Oreochromis niloticus: one gene and its partner. The protein of the gene in region 2 interacts with the protein of the main gene of each other region in a pairwise test. Links are inferred from orthologs where the notes say so. Each region holds a gene or a part of one and is shown on either strand. Other genes may lie near its edges.

Region 1 (9,782 bases), on a different chromosome or scaffold from region 2:
CGCTCTTGGAATTTTCCAAACACACAAAAACTACAAAAACCTTCAGTGAGAAAAGTTAGAGGTGAGAAACAGGCCTGAAAACCTTAAGTGTTACCCACAAACAATTTGATGGCAGCAACATGTCTCAAAAACCGCAAAAGGCTGGAACAGTACGCATTTCAAAAGGAAACAGCTGCAGCAACATTTTTGAAATCAATAAGCTTAACTGCTAACACGTCAGTAAAAAGAAAATAGCGTCTCAGAGAGTCAGAGTTTCTCAGAAGTAAAGATCAGCAGAGATTCACCAATCAGCACAAGACTGCAGGTCCAAATTGTGAAAAACATTTCACAACAATGTTCCTCATACATAATATAATCCAAGGATTTAGAGAACCTGGAGAAATCTTGGGCCCTGCATTACAAACAGGCATGCTTGTGTCCTGACAATTGCTGCATGGCTCAGGAATACTTTCTGTGAACAAACAACGCCATCCACAAACATAGGTTAAAGTCAGAGACGCTGCCGTCATCTCCGGGCAAACGCACATTTAAAATGGACAACGTGGAAACTGTTCTGTGCTCAGACGAATCTAAACTCTTTTTGTAACACATGGACATCCTGTGCACTCCAGAAGAGAAGGAACACCTGCTTAGTTTAAAACCTGGCATCTCCGATGGTGTAGGAGTGCACTGATGCCTACGGACCTGGCAGCTCGGACATCTGCAAAGGCACCATCGGTACTAAAGGTATATGCTCCCATTCAGATGGTGTCTCTTTCAGGGAAAGCCTTGCAGATTTCAGCAAGACGATGCTAACTTGCATCTATTATACTGCATCAGCATGCCTCTGTGGGAGGAGAACCTGTGTCCTGAACTGGCCTACCTGCCTGCAGTCCAGTTTCACCAACTGAAAACACTTATTGAAATGAACAATATGACAGAGCAGACGCAGGACTGTGGAGCAACTGGAATGCTGCATCAGACAGGAACGGGACGACGTTCCTCTCCCAAAACTCAAGCACCTGGCCTCCTCGGTTTCCAGACACTAACATTTTTTCATACACATTGTCTCAGTTTAAACATCTGGGATAAAATGCTTTTACAACTTGACATGTTGTGATTAATTTTGTGGGTAAGAAGTCTGGATTTAATTTGGTCTTATGTGTTAACAATCATCATTTAAATATATGAATAAATATTCCACACATCACTGGTTTTACTCAGGAGTTGTTTTTTTAGCTTTTCTGTTCGACTCTGTTCAATTCTATTAAATATCTATTAACTGAATTACCTTTATGTGTTACGGATTCAAACGTGCTCTATAGAAACAAAGATTATTTCTATGCTCTGAATTCTACTTTAATCTGTATTTACAATCAACACCCGATAAACTACACAGAGCAGGTGGAAGACGTACCTCTTTGACGTGCCGTTTGAGGTGCATGTAAACGCTCTGTCCTGTTTTGCGATAATGTCGCTCCACATGTTCTCGACCAAAGCCCAGGAATGTGTTCATACACACATACAGGCCTCCCTCAGACTCCTGCGGAGCAAAACAAACAGTAACAATGAGAAAGCACAACTGGCACGCTATGAGCACATTTGAAATATTTCTTACCGTGGGAACAATTTCAGGATCTTCTATTTTGCCCAATTTGCCAAACTCATCACCGTAATATCAAACACAAAGATGTGATTCTGACACTTTCCAAAGTCTTTCTCGCTCAAAGAATTATTATTTGCACCAAAAACTTTCCACCTTTCAGCATTTGTGCTGCTGACAAGCATTAGTTTGAATACAAATGCCTCCTCTGACAGGTCATTTAATTCAAGGAAAGTAACTGATTATTCTCTCATATTAGGCTTCATACGAGCAACATGATACAACAATTTTATGCTGTTGTTTCTGAAACTGAAAAGCGTCCCATTACAGGCAGACTCATTTCATTAACAACATGTCTGAGCTCTTAGGAGAATGATTTTTACCTTTAGCAACAGCCCGTAAGCTCAGACTGACTTGTGTCATGTCTTTTAGAGAAGAACGTGATTCTTTGGTCATCTTGTTATTATCAAAAAAAGTCCACGTGAATGGTGACAGACACCTAAACATGCTTTCAAATCTACAATAACATCAACCTTTTCCTTTCTTTGACAGTTCACTTCACATGGGAACACAAAACACTTGGAAAATATACCTTCAACGCTAACCTAAATCTGCGACCAGGCCAGGCCTAATAAACCTCCCCGTGATAAACCTTTAAGTGGCCCAGAGTGACATATGAGCCTCAACAGTGCAAGGGTAAAAATAACCCAGTCCTCAGGCCAACATGATGAACTCCAGACAGCTGAGTCACCTTTAAAAACGGTTTCAGTCGAGAAAGCGAGATTTCACTGGGGCAAAGAAATTTTATATCTGTCACAGGTAGGAAGGGTACCTGTGACAGATATAAAAAATGCAGGGTTCAGTCCACGTACAGGAAGGACTGAACTCTGCATCATCAGCGCATAAAACCCCTTAAAGGTTCAAGTAAAGTAAAACAGCCGCCGTGTTCATGATGGCACTGCTGTCCTATTCACAGAAGAAAAGTAAAATGACAAAAATAAAGCAGAATAAGCATTTTAAAATATATACAGAAAAAGCTGAGAGCAATAGCAGAAGCATCAAATATTTCACTTTTTGACTCGTTATAGTCACAGTGTCGCGGAGACACCATGTGACGCCATAATGGCTACTAAAAACCAAAACAACACCATTAAGGTCTTGAAACGTCTACAAATCCTGGCTGTTTGAGAACAGAAGCATCCCCGTGGACACAGTTCCAGCAAGCACCACTGGCGCACTTTAGGTCATTTTCAGACAAATTATAGACTATAAAAACCCAAGAGTGGAGCAGTAAACTCACTCCTGAACACGGCTGTGCTGCTGCTGGTGGAGGATTTGAGCCCAGCTTCAGGCAGGTGTAGGTGTGTGGCTCCGTTTATTGGTCTAACTGGCCTGCGTTAGGACCTACAGTAGTAGTGGGGTGGTGTGAAGTGGACACAAAGGAAACTCCTTTCATCCCTTTCGCCTGAGACGTAAACACCCTTTAATTGTTTTTTAACCTCCCAAGCTCGCGGAGACGGTGACCATGGAGACACGCGCATTTACAGCAGATTCACGTGCGCCGCTGAGCTCGTGCAAAACAAGCTGTCAGCTCGCCTACGACGCACTTTCTCTCCCCAAACAAGCCGCTCGTGTCTCACTGAGTGAGTGTGTGTGTGAGGAGGGGGGGCGACAGGCACACTTACGGGAGAGTCGAAAGAAAAGGCGCACTCGCTCTTGAAAACCCTGTCTCCTGTTCTGGGGACCCTGATGGTGGGCATGTATGGGACCAGCAGCTCTCCTAGGTCTGCAGCCATCTTCGCATTCCTGCTTCTCGCACCACAGTGCTGCGGAGCCTCCGGGGCAGCGCCTGTCACAGGAGAGGATGCTATTTTTAAAGCACTTCGTCTCTACATTCCTGCGACCAGGGGGATGTGACGTTGAAAAACATAAAAATAAAATGACAGAGGGGTGGAGGCAGGCAGGCAGGCTGCTGCACGGTGCGGCACAACGCTGAAAGCTAATGTTGTTCTTTTGTTTTTCTATTCTTTTTTCCTGCCTCCCACCACAAAAAAAAGAGAAATCTTGGACCTGCGCAGAAATTACATTGCTACTGTTGGCTGTGGTGACGCCGCTGTGCTGCTCCTGCTCACGGGGATGTTTTACGAGAAGGGCCCCTCCCACCTCTGAGGATGATTCATAAGACCACCCACATTTACTACAACATGTTTCCAGTTTCCAGGATTCAGGAAGTGCGTGATTATGGAAGACACTTTGATTTTTAGTAGCTGCTTATCAATCTGCAGTCGGTTTGGTCTATTTAAAAAAAAGACAGAGCAGTAAATGTCATTTAATAATAGATAATAATAATAATAGATAATAATAAACAAAAAATATACTTCAGATGACTAATTTTTATTTATATGTTTGATATGTGATTTTAAGTCCACTTTTAAATAGTGCTGCATGTGTGTAAAGAAGCCCTTTGTCCACGTGACCAGGCTAGTCTTGTCTGCAGAGCTCTGCCACCCGGTGGACGCTCGTGGTTATCGCAAGAAAATATAAACTATAAACCAAGAGGAATCCAGCCTTCCTTAGAGATCTGGAAGAATTTACAGTACAAATAAATGTAAGGTGCAGTTTTGGTTTTTTTTTAATTGCACTTGGCTGAAACTTTCTCAGCCCTGGCTAAGCATTTTAAAGATGGATATATTTTGTTCTTTATCAACAGACCGAGTACATCCTGGACAGGTTGTCAGCTCGATGCCGGGCTGCTACAGAGACAGACAACCACAGGAGATTTTTAGAGTCACTAATTAACCCCACTAACTGCACACAACAGAGAAAATGCAAACTCCTTAATGAAGGCCCCGGCCAAAAATAAATAAATACATTTACAAAAAAATTTAATTACATATATATTATGCACATTTGATTTACTGTTCAACTTGAGCTTTATTGGATGATTTCAGCTCAGAAGTATTCACACAAGCTGAAGACAGGTGGTGTCAGTGGGTTTGACACAAGCTGCCAATCCCCGATCATCTGTAACTCTGTAATATCATCATGGTGAAGGTGTTTGCTGCATGAACCGAATTAAGACGCTAAAACATGAATATCAGAGTTCATATAGATACTTTATTCACGCAATATGGGAAAAAATGTACAAACAGTGAGATTGATGTACAGATGACAGAAACATCTGGATTAATGGTCAGGTGATGACTTGGGGCTGTTGTCAATTAGCTCTTTGTTAAGGGTCGGCACTTGGAACCAGGGGCCGTCTCCTTGCTGCCTCATCTGGCGACGCACCTCCAGCTGCGTCAGTCTGTGACAACAAAACAATGAATAAAGAGGCAGAGAAATGTAACACCATGCTTTAGAAATGAGCAACCAGTTAAGTGAGGAAGACTAATAATGTACGACACTTGTAAAATAACAAAGAATTACATTTGTCACAGCTGCAGCACACACACTTAAATTGATTCCTCAAGACTGACCAATCTCTGCAATTTCAATAACCAATCTGCATATAATATTTTTCAGAGAGCATGTTCTGAAAAATCCAAAGATGGTTCCCTCATAGGCTCACTTGCACCTGTTTTCTTTGGGGAGAGGAAAAAAACAAAAAACAGCTGAGGTTTTCCACATCAATGGAACAACGCTATTATCAAGGAATGCAGCTGCTCTGCACGCCCTTTCAGGATCCCTCCCTCCTACTGCATCACGTTCTGGTGCTTTTCATGACTGGACACACTTGAGAAAAGCTACCGCTTTAGCGTTTGCAGTGATTTTTCCATGGCGGTGGTAGCAAACTGCTGTTTCCTATTTCTGTAATGATGAGCCAAAGTTTTCTTCAGTGTCGACACAACTTTGTCTGCTGTAAAGCACATTTGTAAACCTCTCAGCCAGTTAAAAACAATCCAATCTCTTGGATACTTTCCTCTGTAGAACTCAATATCATGACACTCTTGGTTACACTACATAAACAGCTAAACACCAGCTGTAGCGCATCAGTGTATCGTGTAGTGGATATGAGCCAAGCAGAGACATCTTCTAAAAGCATTTTAAATGCATGTGTTTGTGTTATTGGTGAAGCATATGAAGCACACTGGCAGTAACACCCACCTCATGTCTGCTTTTTCCTTTTCAATCTGGACTGCAGCCATCATCTTTTCGTAGTCCTTCACTGGGGAATCATAGATGTTCCGTGTGATCCACCTGGTGATGGGGTGCTGAAACAACAGAGCACAAGGATTTGATGCAACATAGGACTGTCCCTTTAGTGCAGTCGTGTGACATACATTTGTTGCAGTTCAGTGTTATTGTGTTTACAGAGGAGCTCTGGTCAAGTAGACTTTCTTGAGGGGACATTTTTTTTATCCTGTTTTAATCCTTGTGGCTGGTGCTGCTGTGCGTTTATGTCGTCTGGTTCAAATTTGGTGAATGTTTTGGGTTTGGTGTTGACATCTGACCAGGCTTCTTGACTCCTCCTATTGGTGGAGCCTCGCTTGTGGAATACTCCACTCTCACCCAAGGTGGAAGCGTGCCACTTGTGGAAAACCACTAGGGAAGATCGAGTGCTTAAATGGACTTTGTTCACTGCCTGATCAAAGCTTGTGCGCTAAAACACACTGGAGTTTTTTTTAGGAATAAAGGCATTTTAAAAATAGAGTGCCTCGGAGTCCTTTGAAGACTTTGCATAAAAATCATACCCAGTTTAAAATCAGTTGATTTCTCCTTATCAGAAGTCTCCTTAGACAGGAGACTAGCATGGCTGCTATTTTTAGCTCCTTTCCTGGAAGTCCCGGTCTGTTCCGTTGCACTTGTGCATCTGCAGCGCATGATGGATCACCTCCAGTGTGTCACTGCAGTAATACTTCAACTCTAACTTCATTTTGGGGAAAAGGACAAAGAACCAAAATTTGGAAAGTGCGAGGCAGTCGTTGGTGTGTGGACGCAGACTGATACGTGCCACGTACAGACTGCTTGCTCCAAGTCCAGAGATTATACTCTCAGTGATAGGACACTGGGCCATGTTTGCCACTGTGAACACCTATGTGTCTATGGAACTGTGCAGGCTGCACTACCGCACTACCACACCCTCAGAGATGCAGGATTTTGAACTGAGCACTGATAACAAGCCGGATGTTCCCTCTCCTCTTTAGTCTGAAGGATGTTGTGTTCATGTTTTCCAAAAAGAATATTACACTTTGATTTGTCTGACCACAGGACTGTTTCCACACTTGGCTCCAGTCCATTTTAAACTTTATATGTTTATATGTTTACTTTATATGTTATGCAAGTGTTCTTGCTACAGTTTTGTCCGGTGTTATCTCCCTTCAGATTTATGATCGGCATGCGTTACTGGCGATCAAATCTGCTATGGATAACTTTCAGAGTCAACGAAACGACGTTGTTTTCCCACCGCCGCTTGAGCGCCACGCAGCATCCGGTTTACCTTCACTCTTGCCGGTCAGCTCTATTTTGCTTCAGAGGCCTCGTCGGAGGAAGTGGGGGAAGAGAGCCGGCTTTCTTGTCCTGCTCTGTCGTCTTCGGAAAGAGGCAGATCTTCGGGGGCTTTATTCCTGGGCTGCTAGCGGTAAGATCCGCCTGAGACTTGTCGGAGCTGGATTAATCCCCACAACCCACTGTGTTTACCACCCAGGCTTCCACCTGAAAGCATGGAAAGCAGTGCCTCATCGCGGCAGGAACCCTGTGTTGCTGCACAGCTTACCGCATAGTACGAACTCTGTTCCTGGAAACTCTACCCCTGTCCCGGTGGGTCGCAGCGTTAAATGGATGTTAATTAATGCCCGCTCAATTGCCAACAAGTCTTATATCTTAAATGACTTGTTCTGTACGAAGAAGCTTGATTTTATGTTTATCTCTGAGACGTGGCAGCGTGAGAATGAAGTCTCACATCTTTTAGAGCTTTGTCCCGCTGACTGTTCTTTTCTCTGTGCACCTCGGATATCTGGATGAGGAGGTGGAACAGCGGTAATTTTTAAAAAGACATTTTTTATGCCAGATGATCTCCTCGAGCTGTTACAACTCTTTTGAGATGATTATGATAAAAATTGGACGAGAACAGCCCATATACGGCATTTTAATTTATCGTCCACCTGGGTCTGCTGCGTCTTTTCTGTCAGACCTACAAGAATTTTTAACTTCCACTATTAAACTGGGCAAGGTCATCATTGTTGGTGACTTCAACATTCATGCAGAGGACTCATCAAACAGTACCACTAAGGAGTTCCTGAGCATTATGGACTCTTTCAATTTTGTTCAGCATGTATCAGGTCCTACTCACACAGCTGGGCATACTCTGGACTTGGTCTTCACCTGTGGTGTTTCCCTTGACCACATGAACTTAAATGAAGTTGCTTTTAGCGACCATAAGTCAGTCTTTTTTAATGTATCTATCAACTCAGAGTCTCTTCCCCAAAGTTTTATTAGGCGCAGGCGCTTTATTGATGACTCTGTCAATTTAAAGTTTTCTTCTCTTTTTAATTTTAAACCTCCTTCTGATGATGTTGACATCCTTATTAATTCTTTTAATGAACACTATCTTGCCATTCTTAATCAGGTTGCTCCTTTGAAAACTAGTCATTGCACTGTTAGTTGCTGGACACCATGGTTAAATAATCAAACCCGTGGTCTTCGACGCTCCTGTTGAAAAGCAGAGCGTCTCTGGAAGTCCACTGGGCTGGTTGCCCATCGGGAACGCTTCAAAGAACTTCTTCACTTATATAATGAGTCAGTCAAAGAGGCCAGATCCTCTTACTTCAATAATCTCATAAATCGTCATAAAAATAACCCAAGAATTCTATTTGATACCATCAACAGTATTGTTTCTCCTCCAACTCAGCAATGCTGTGTTACTTTCTGATGAAGACTTCAGCACTTTCCTCAATTACTTTGTAAATAAGGTGATGGACTTGAGATCCAAAATCTCCTCAAGTGCCTCCCCTTATGAAGATGCCCCTTGTTGTCCCGGGTCATTTACTTCATTTTCTCCAATCACACTCAAAGACTTAATTGCAGTAATAGGTAAAATGAAATCCTCATCATGCTCCTTAGATATATTACCTCCCTCTGTCCTGTCTGGGACTCTCACCAGCATTGGTCCCACACTTCTATACATCATCAACAATTCACTGAGGCAAGGCTGTGCTCCGTCCTATTTTAAACATGCTGAGGTAACCCCTCTGGTAAAAAAACAGAATCTAGATCTTACCTCCCCTAGTAGTTATCGTCCTATTTCAAGATTGCCATTTATAAGTAAATTACTAGAAAAAATTGTAGAAAACCAGTTCAGGTCCTACTATGCCGATTGCAGATTTTTGACCCTTTTCAGTCTGGCTTTCAAAAGCAGCACTCTACGGAGACCGCTCTCTTAAGGGTCCATAATGATCTACTAATGGCACCTGATGCAGGAAATTGTTCCGTGATCATTTTGCTAGATCTTAGCGCAGCCTTCGATACCATCGACCACAAAATCCTACTCAACAGGCTGAAGGTTCTGGCTGGTATATCTGGCACCGCCTTAGACTGGTTTTCTTCCTACTTATTAGACAGGACCTTTTCTGTTAGGACTGATAGGTTCTCCTCTAACACTGCTGCACTAACCTGCGGGGTTCCACAGGGTTCAGTTTTGGGTCCATTATTATTTTCTTTTTATATGCTTCCTTTAGCTGGCATTATTCAGTCTTTTAGTGACCTGTCTTATCATTTCTATGCCAATGACATTCAGCTATATAAGTCCTTTAAGCCTCATCAGCTGGATAGGCTGTCCACCCTAATCCAGTGTTTAACTCAAATCTCTGATTGGCTTTCTAACAATTACCTTGTTTTAAACATGAACAAGACAGAGACCATGATCATAGCTCCTCCTGATCTATATTCTAAAATCAGTCAGGTTCTTGCCCCTTTCTGTTCTTCTGCTAAGCCAAATATTCGAAATCTTGGGAGTAATATTTGACTCTTCTTTGGGCCTTGCCTCACACGTAAAGTCTCTGTCTCGTTCCTGTTTCTTTCATTTAAGGAATATTTATACTGTGACATATGGTCTCCTTAGCTGAACTGGAAAAAATTGTCCATGCATTTGTGTCATCGCGTTTAGATTATTGTAATTCCCTGTTTACCAGCTTGGATAAATCATCTCTTTCTCGCCTCCAAGCTATACAAAATGCAGCAGCCAGACTACTAACTCGCTCTA
Region 2 (9,297 bases):
ACTGAGGGGTGTGAAGCAAATTAAAGCCGTGATCTCCGTTCCTTCACCTTGGATGAAGTCGATGCTCCGCAGGGCCTTGCCCTCTTTCTTGAAGTCGACTTTGTAATGATCCATACTCTCGTAGCCAAGCTCTACTTTATCCAGGTGCGCTGCACTGGATGCCTCCTCAATCCTGAGCACATAAGTCTCATTTAGGATATTCACAGGACTAAATGTTGCCTCACAAAGTCATGGTAACACGTCTTAAATATATTCAATCTGTGATGTTTAGCACGTTCGGCAAGTTATTTCAGGATGCCACAGCAGAAGCTAGTGATTTGCAACATTTCACAGGATTATTTTCCACAGCTACCAGAGAGAAGGTGTGACCTTGCTCTATTAGAGTTGTGGTTTTATGTGTAAGTGCAGATGTAATCATTCATGAGAGTGATTAAAAAACATTAGCTAGAAAGGATTTTGACTTTTACACTGGCAGTGTAGTCTCTTTTTTTGCAAAACCCCTTCATCCTCTTATCAGTGCAATTATTATTATTGAAAAACAAACAGCATACTTACTTTTTGAGGAGAGGCTTTGTGTTCTGAAAGACACAAGGGAGAGTTCAACTGAACATGCACATAAAATACTGATAAACTTTTATGAACTGGCTAAAATTATGTCAAATTTAAACCCCATGTGGTAGCAGCTCTGACCTGCAGGAATAAAGCCATTTCTGGCTCGTCCATAGCCTGGATCCCCATCTCCAAGATTTTACAGCTCTCCTCCAGATGGTCTCCATATTTACTTGTCAGGCCCCGGATATAGTTCACCTTCTCTTCCTGTTCGTCTGTCACCTTCTGATTCAGCTCCCTCTTTTTCTCCTCCAGGATAGAGTATAGGTGGTCAAACTTTTCACACACCAGAGTCTTCTGTCTCCGACTGTTCTCCTGTACGTGCGAGAACAAGCGAAGAAAACACGCACACACACAGGGAAAGGTTGTAAATTCTGCAGGTCCATTCTTTATTAATGAGTTCTGGGTGGGAAATGTAGGCAATTCAGTTTCGAAGTACATTAGAATTTCAAAATGAGAGAAAATGCGGTAACTAGTTGTTGTTTTCATTCTTCGGATGTCTAAATACTGCAAAATGCCTTCCGTTCATTTGGTGCCATGTGCATGACGCTATAGCAGTGACACACAGGGGACTGGAGTCACTCCAGCTTCCTCTCTACTACGTCCAACTGTGGCACGTGAACCATAAGAAAGCTGCCTGTTCTCGCCCCATCAATTACACTGCTCGTTTTATTGTCCGTGGAAGTGGGTCGAAGGCAGAATAGGGTGCTCTAACTAGTGTATGTGGACCCAGCGTAGGAGAAAATATGAAAATGGGAGATTAAAGCAGTCTGTGGAACCAAAACATTTATTTTCCTCTTACTGCCTCTCTGTCTAAATCTCACAGATGGATAAAAGCAGAAAGAGTGGCCGTGACAAGGACACATTACATCAGTTTGGTCGTCTGTGCAGGTACATTAGTGTGTGCACGGAGTGAGGCTTGCTGCGTGAGTGAGCGGCCAGGCACTGCAGCAGTCGGACACTGACCTCTATGGCACGACAGGCTTCCTCTAGCTGACTAATGATGCCCTGCATCCTGTCGTTGTTACCAACCACCATGGCAATCCCGTCACTCAGCTCCGTCTAGGGGGCAAGGACATGGCAGCATGACTACAGACTCAAATCTGGGGCAAATCTATGGTTACACTATGATATACTTCATGATGAAACTGTAAAAAACACATCACCATGGCTGACAGTATCCGTAGCCTTTGTAAGCATCTCAGGCCTCACCTTCTTCGTCTGGTAGATGCTGCTGAGAGGAGCCACCTCGCAGTCTTTGTGGGCTCCAAAGACCTTGCACATGGAGCACGTGGGCACACCGTGGGTCACGCAGTAAATGTTGATCTTTTCGTCCTCGTGAATATCACACATGGGCGTTTCTTCCTTTTTCTCTGGTGCTGGTTTGCTGCTGTTGAGGTGCGATGGAAATAGCGGTAGTATCCCGTGATGCTGCACATTTGCATACTGATGTGACATGCAGTGTCAGTTTGATAATGTCACTGTTACACATCTCGGCATCTAAACAGCTTATCGATGACCCATCAGGTGTGCCCTGCCATTCACATGCACTGCCAGCACTGTAATCAATAGGTCATCATCATTGCTGAGTAGTGTGGGAGCAAGCATACATGATTCATGTTTTTATACCTTAAAAGTTTTCTCCCTTTCCTTATTTCTTAAGTTTATACATATTTGTCACACCATCAGACAAAGATAATAAAAAATGAAGTTTTTAAATAATGATTTCATTTCAGTGAAAAAGCTATCCAAATGCACCTGCCCTGTGTGAAAAAGTAATTGTCCCCTAAACCTAATGACTAGTTGTGCAACCCTTGGCAGGAAGAACTGCAATAAAGCTTTTGGCGATATCTGGCAATGAGTCTTTCACATCACCGTGGAGGAATTTTGGCCTGCTCTTCTTTGCAGAATTGCTTTAATTAAAACACATTTAAAGGGGCTTTTGAGCACGAACAACCTGTTTAAGGTCCTGACTTTGAGTAGGTCGTTCCAAAACCTTACATTTGCTTGTTTTTAAGTCATTAAGAAAGGATAAATGTCAATCTTTGCAGGATGTGAATGTTTGCATTTTAGACCGAGGAGACAGTTTAAAAGACGATGACGGATCATTAACAACACCAACTGTCAACCACCTACAATGCAGTCTCAAGATCCGTTTCCCAGGCGGCTCAACACCCACTCACACGTTGCGCCAGGTGAACTCAACGGGTCACATAATGTGGTCTCACGCAAGATCTCGCAGTGATTTCATCTGAAGCCTCAGGTGGTAATGACCCACTCCTTTCTTCCCAGTTTGGCTCTTGTGATGATGGACAGGACTACTAGTCGGGCAACGATCACCTCTTAAGGGGAAATCCATTAAGGTTTAAATACCTGGCACTCTCTACGTTTTGGTCTCAGAACTGAAGAAGCATCTCGGATGAGAGGCTGTCATCCTATAAACTCTACTTAGGATAATGGTAATGAAATAATGTCACAACAGCAAAAAGTGTTGTGGATATCATGTCATACAAGCCTTTCAGTCATCTGCTGGATAAAAAATCTGTGTGGATGACTACTGCAAGTACAAACGTCCTCTCACCCACTGCAGATCTCTGACTCAGAAGCCAGAGTTAGTGTTTCACTTCCTGCTACTATACTTTACTGCCCTACAAGGCGAGTTTCACTAATAAAAACATCCTCCTGTCAGACATGAAGAATTCTTTTCATTTTCTGTTATTTTGACAAATGTCTGATCTGTCTCACCTGCTGGATTCTTGTTTGAACATGTCAATGATATTCTCAACCAACAGGTTCCTCTGCAGGCCGTAAACACCATGCCTGTCCAGAATCACCTCGTGTCTGCAGGACGGGCATCGGAAACGTCCACCAGAGGTCAACGAGCCGCTTCTTGTTGGAAGGTATGGGTTTGAAGCCTGTAAACGACAACAAGGGAAGCTCTGAATTTTGCATGACTGGGTTTTGATGGATAGCAGAAGTAAAATTAATTACATTGTTTAACTCAGCAGTTATGAAATATTAATCCAGGGGATTAACAGTCCATAACACAAACTTCAAACCACCATCATTAACATTCAATCCACATGTTTGTAAACAGAGCCTATAGGTGTTAAATTTATATGTCACTATTTGGGTCTTTGATATGTGAAAATTCAGACCAACTTTATAAATAAGTACCAATTTGAGCCATTCAATAGCTTACCTGGAAAACATCATTGGCACATTTTCTGCACAGGTTGTGCTGGCAGGGTAGGATGACCACAGGCTTTGTAAACATTTCCAAGCATATTGGACAAATCAGCTGTTTCTCCAAGTTGTCCATGGTGTCAACGATTTCACACGCAACTAAACAACTTAAAAAGTCTGAAAAGTTTAGTATGAAGTCCTTTCTAAAAGCAATCTATCATAGGCCCAGCTTCAGGCTGAGTAGTAGGCCTGTTATGTTTGTCCTAGCGGGTGTAGACTCCTATCTCCTCTGTGTCAGTTCTGTTTTTAGCAGCTACTGCTGTCACGTCTAAGGTTGCCATTTTTGCCTTGTCCATATATGAAACTAAGTAGGGCAGTGCTGAAAAGCAGCCCATCCCCAGCCTCTTCTACACGGGGTGCCATGTGGCTATGTGTTTGAGAGGATAGGGGCAAGTCATTTGGCAAGTGATGCAATCATAGGCTAACTTTGATTGTGACTTTTATATCTAAAATTATTGATAGCATCTGACAGTCTCTACTGAAAACACCTAGTACTCAGTACCTTTTTACCATGTTGCCGATCAAGTGCCAGCTTTGCATTAATGTTAACTTAGACAATAGACAGCAGCCGGAAGCTATCAAAAGTGACTTCCAGTCAAAGTTGGGAGGAGACCATTACGTAAGAGGGAAGATAACCACGCACAGGAGAGGTTTGTTACAATCCTAGGTTCGCTGGCTAAGCTCCTAGTTAAAGGAGTGATCGTGATTTTACCTAGCATTAAACAAACTATGGCATGTGTAAAGCATTTTTTGCACATGGGTATTTGCACTTAGAGAACAGCATAAGGACGACAACCGTAACATTAGGTGTATTCACCGCATCCTTAAAAGTAGGTGATAACTGCTACTATTTTAAAAAGAACAATTCAGCTAAAATATTTTGGTGTTTGTTAGCGTGTTCGAGGCCTTACATTGAAGGAAAAATGAAAATGTTATTGGAGAATGCGGGCATCGATCCCGCTACCTCTCGCATGCTAAGCGAGCGCTCTACCATTTGAGCTAATTCCCCGGTACGGAAGTTGTTCGTTGTGTGTGTATTTATTGTTCGTGAGATACGTAATTGGTTCAATGTGACGGTGTAGTGTTTGATATATTTCACATATCATGCCGAAATACAGTGCGGTAAGGTAGCATTATTAAGCTGTCTAGGTTAGCTCTAACAAATGTGAATAATAACAGGGTTTAATAGCTGCTAAGTTATTGAAAGGCTCGCAATGTTAAAGTTCCTTTGAGGGCAACCAAGTTACTTCAAATATGTGGGGAAACTCTCACACACAACTATTTAGCTCAAGTGGAAAACAGTGGCGAATGCGAATTTCCAGAAAACATGTTAACCGAAGAGGGCGTCCGCCATATCTGCCGATCTCATAAATACACAGGGGGTGGAGGTAGTCGTCAGCTCCCTTCGATAGCTCAGTTGGTAGAGCGGAGGACTGTAGTGGCTTCCCAGGCATCCTTAGGTCGCTGGTTCGAATCCGGCTCGAAGGAGAGAAATTTTTTTTTTTTTCCCTCCCCTAAATTCAATTTTGAGCGCTTTTACAAATTTGCTAAGAATTGCTGTTCTATGAAGCTTCTCTAATCATTTCTTTTAATGAAAATACATATTTCAGATGTTGAAACAAAATGGCTAGTATTGGCAGTTAATGTATTTTTCTACAAATAAATGCAAATCCATAAAAACAGATGATGATTTTCTTAAACTTTCCCACAAAATCAAGTAGAGTTTTGGGGTGTATAAAAAATAGAAGTGAGCTTGAAAATGTTTGGCACTGCACTGCCTGCAGTGATGGTCTAGTCAGCATAAATACACAGCATATCCTGCAAATCTGCTGTGCATGTTAAATAAAAAATGATCACACCTGCAAGCACTGTTCAAAAAGGGAATTTAAAAGTGATTGTTTAGTGTTTGATTATCTCTCCACTCGTGATGAAAACAAACTTTATCACTTTGTTTGACTGTGAAATGACTTATAAAGGTGCTGCGAACACATTCAGATGGATGACTCAGAGACCGTAATTAACAGTTGTGTGGAGGACTGTGGCAAGCGTCACACACTAATAAAGCGCCTTTGTTTATTTCTGTGCTGTTGCACGATTGTTATTCCTCCGTCCACTGATTCTCATTAGCGGTATTTCAATTACAAATTAAAACCCCTGTCCTCTGCTAATGGAGTGCTCATCTTCATGAATCTGTATGAGTTCCTCACTTTATTTCCAAATATTTGTCACGTCTAAATGTCCCATGCAAACGAAGCAATTAAAGATGCACTTTTTCAAAACATTTGACCTATACAAAAAAATTTACATACTCTTTAATTAGAAACTCAATGTCAAAGCGAACGTAGCAGGATCCTCATAGTGGAAGCTTCTGACCCATTTAAGCATACCTCATCTTTTTCTTTTTTCTTTTCATCTGACTCATACAATATGACATCTGCCTTCCTCGCACCTCTTTTCCTTTTATATAAAGCCACATGGATGTGCACACAGTGCTTTTCATGCAGAATCAGTGAGTCATATTTAAACATTTTAGACAGATGTCATTACTGAAAATGAATGAATGTCTCTCTCACACTCTCTAATTTGTCTCTTTGTTTCATTTAGTGTCCCCCTCCGGGGTTTGCAAGTTAGGAATCAACTTTAAGAAATGAGAAAAAGGTAAAAAATAAATAAATAAATAAAATGGGGAAAAAAGGATGAGAAATATACACATTCAAATAGTAAAGTTCCCATCTCTTGTGATTTGCAAGTCTATGTAAATGTAAAACAGCGCTCTTACTAATTTTGTCATTTAGCTTTTTATGTGTGTCTCACCCAGTTCTCCTTTCTGTTGATGTGTTTTTTCTCTGTGATGTACTACAAATGAAGTTTTTAGTCATTTTGTGATGCTGTGGGCACACCACTTTATTCAGTTTTAATCAGTAATCTCTAAAAAGGCTGAACTAGCATGATTACATATTCATTAGCGACAAGCAGAGGCTGCTCAGATGCTCACCATTTAGATAAAAGTGAATTCAAATGAGATCAATTAAGGAGATGTTCTGGGTTATGTCTTTGTGATTGAAGTGAATTCATAATTTTTCATCCATTACTATCTGACTCATAATATTGCAGCGCCTGTTAGTAAAAATCCAACAAAGATTGACAAATTAAGAGCAGTGTGGAGATTACTTGGAGATGAAAGGCCAACATGAATGCCAGACAGTGCTGCCTTTGAGGCTAAAAGCTGCCAATTTAAAGAGCACAGTGTGAAACTCCTGTTCCCCTCTTTCGCTCGGCGTTGGTAAGCGGTGCTTTGCGTGAATCGTAAAAAAGGTCTGCATGCACTGCCAAGGCCATGAAATACACCTGCGCTCGCACATAACCGCACACATAAGATGTCTACAAACTCATAAGCAAGATGAAAGTGTATAGGGGACCAGAAAAGGGAGCAGAGCAAAGGGTGCCATCTGTTCACTTGTATGAATATTTCAGTTAGGTGGAAGTCATATTGTATTCACGCAGATGGCAAGCAGTCAGTGGCTGTGATTTAAAAACTCTCTGCGAGCAATTCCAGATAATGTCCATTTCTTCATCTCCATATCTGTCCTAAATGATCCACTGAGCTGAGAGTCTTTGGGTCAGAAAAAGTATGATCATACCCTAGAATGAATAGTAATTTTAAAGGTAGCAGTAATTCACCGTGGATTCGCTTGGGATGAAGAAATATTAATGTAGAACAGTATTTAGCAAGACTTAAAAGGTATTCCACCTTAAATTTACACAGACACTATCAGCTAGGCTTCACATTATTTTTAAATGCCAAGGATGTAGTTAAAAAAAAGCAAGGTCAGATCTTTATCCATTTATGCAACTTCTGGATAGTTCGGGTCTGAACTAGTGATACTCTGGGCAGTTTAGAGGATTTGCCGTCACTGTGTTAATGTTGCAAAAGAACGAAATGATAACGCAGGCCTGTTTACGATACTGTGATGCTATGAACAGTACTGCTGAGGTCATACTGGGGTTTTGTCTGGAGTTACATACACAGAGATACAGCAGTTGTACACCAAATATTTATAGTTGATTTAGCTGCAGCATTCACATTTATTATCTCCAAGAAACAGAAGATCCAGTGCTCGGTGGTGACCCTGATTAGATTTTTAGTGAGTCCTCTTAGTTATCCCAGCTAATAGATCTTTTCTCTGGCGTCTCCAAATGCACAGTGATGATAAGTTATAAAAGAAAACTACATGCGGTCCTGTGTACTGTTACAGCCAAGAGTTTGGATAATATAAGAGGTACTTCATTGTAAAAGTAAGCAATCCCCTATCATATGAATAAATGAGCAGGAACCTTAAACATGCAGTGACCTTTAAGCTTAGCAGTTAGAAGGTGTGCCTCTACTTTTTGGTATTTTTTTTTAAAAGAATGCATTTCAGATTATCCTCTAAAATGCTTCCAGGTTCATCTGTACCTGTCGGACTTTAGTAGCTTCTGGTCTGCAGACCTTTAGCAGATCAAGAACAGTACAGTACCTTATCCTGTTTGTTTTAAATGAACAATATCATGAAAATCTAATTGGGCATAATGAAATAGTGTCACACTTTGTAGATACATCTTACTTGTTTTAATCGTAATAAATAGATACGTTTTCTAGTACTCCATTGCTGTGTATATAATTAGAAGTTATTTTTGACCCTACCTTCATCACTGACATGCTTTTATTTAAATAAGTAGCAGTGTTTTAGGGCAGAATGTGTTTTAGAAGCAGTCATCAAGAATACTGATCATTTAAGCTATGAAAATATTTAATATTTCTTTATATTTTCTGTTTGTTAGTGGGATTAATGAAAGAAATTACAGGCTGGGATCCATGACAATATAAGTAAAGGTCAGGCTTGAATCAACTCAGACGTGATCTCATCATGTTGAGATCACGTCGTTTGTGATCAAACTCACTGAGTCACAAACTCACTGAGTCACTTTCCAGCCATGCTAAGCTACTTAAAAATACTCAAAACAACCCCCAAAACTCAAAGAGTGACTCTGAAAAAAGGCTCAATCAGCACTTTTCCAGTAGCCACATTATCTTTGGCTTTAAATATTAGAGTCCGTCCACTATACAGGCCACTAACATCTGTATTAAGATCTCATTTAAAATGCACCTCTCATGCTGTTGTATAATATGGCTCAAAATTGCACAACTTGGCTCAGTTGTGTAACAAAACATGTCAACCTACAATGTTTTAGAGCGGAAACATCCCAATCTTGTCATCCATAGATTGATGGAGCTGGACCGGGTGATCCTGAATCCTCCCTTAGTTATGCTTAGTGTTTCTTCTTCACACACACACCACTCCTCATTTAACTACTTATTATTACTCTCTGGCTCTCTTCCACAGTGTGTCTTTTGTCCCGTCTTCTTCTGCTCACACCCAACTGGTCGCGGCAGATAGCTGC

What was found.
Region 1: the proteins of trim55b (region 2) and usp13 interact in a two-hybrid assay, tested with the Homo sapiens proteins (2 studies listed by BioGRID and IntAct). The link is inferred for Oreochromis niloticus from reciprocal best matches to the Homo sapiens genes TRIM55 and USP13.

What each region holds. Positions count from the first base shown.
Region 1 is NC_031986.2:45,478,939-45,488,720, forward strand, and holds the start of usp13 (ubiquitin carboxyl-terminal hydrolase 13), read right to left. Parts: upstream 3,678-9,782; 5' UTR 3,379-3,677; coding exon 3,268-3,378; intron 3,220-3,267; exon of another isoform or gene 2,883-3,219; intron 1,523-2,882; coding exon 1,397-1,522; intron 1-1,396. Other genes in the region: ndufb5 (NADH dehydrogenase [ubiquinone] 1 beta subcomplex subunit 5, mitochondrial), read right to left, coding at 4,769-4,889, 5,690-5,796. UniProt on the Homo sapiens protein: Deubiquitinase that mediates deubiquitination of target proteins such as BECN1, MITF, SKP2 and USP10 and is involved in various processes such as autophagy, endoplasmic reticulum-associated degradation (ERAD), cell cycle progression or DNA damage response.
Region 2 is NC_031974.2:19,332,670-19,341,966, reverse strand, and holds the start of trim55b (tripartite motif-containing protein 55b), read right to left. Parts: upstream 4,453-9,297; 5' UTR 3,932-4,452; coding exon 3,812-3,931; intron 3,525-3,811; coding exon 3,355-3,524; intron 2,000-3,354; coding exon 1,822-1,999; intron 1,672-1,821; coding exon 1,576-1,671; intron 925-1,575; coding exon 691-924; intron 579-690; coding exon 556-578; intron 173-555; coding exon 48-172; intron 1-47. UniProt on the Homo sapiens protein: E3 ubiquitin ligase that plays an important role in regulating cardiac development and contractility, muscle growth, metabolism, and fiber-type differentiation.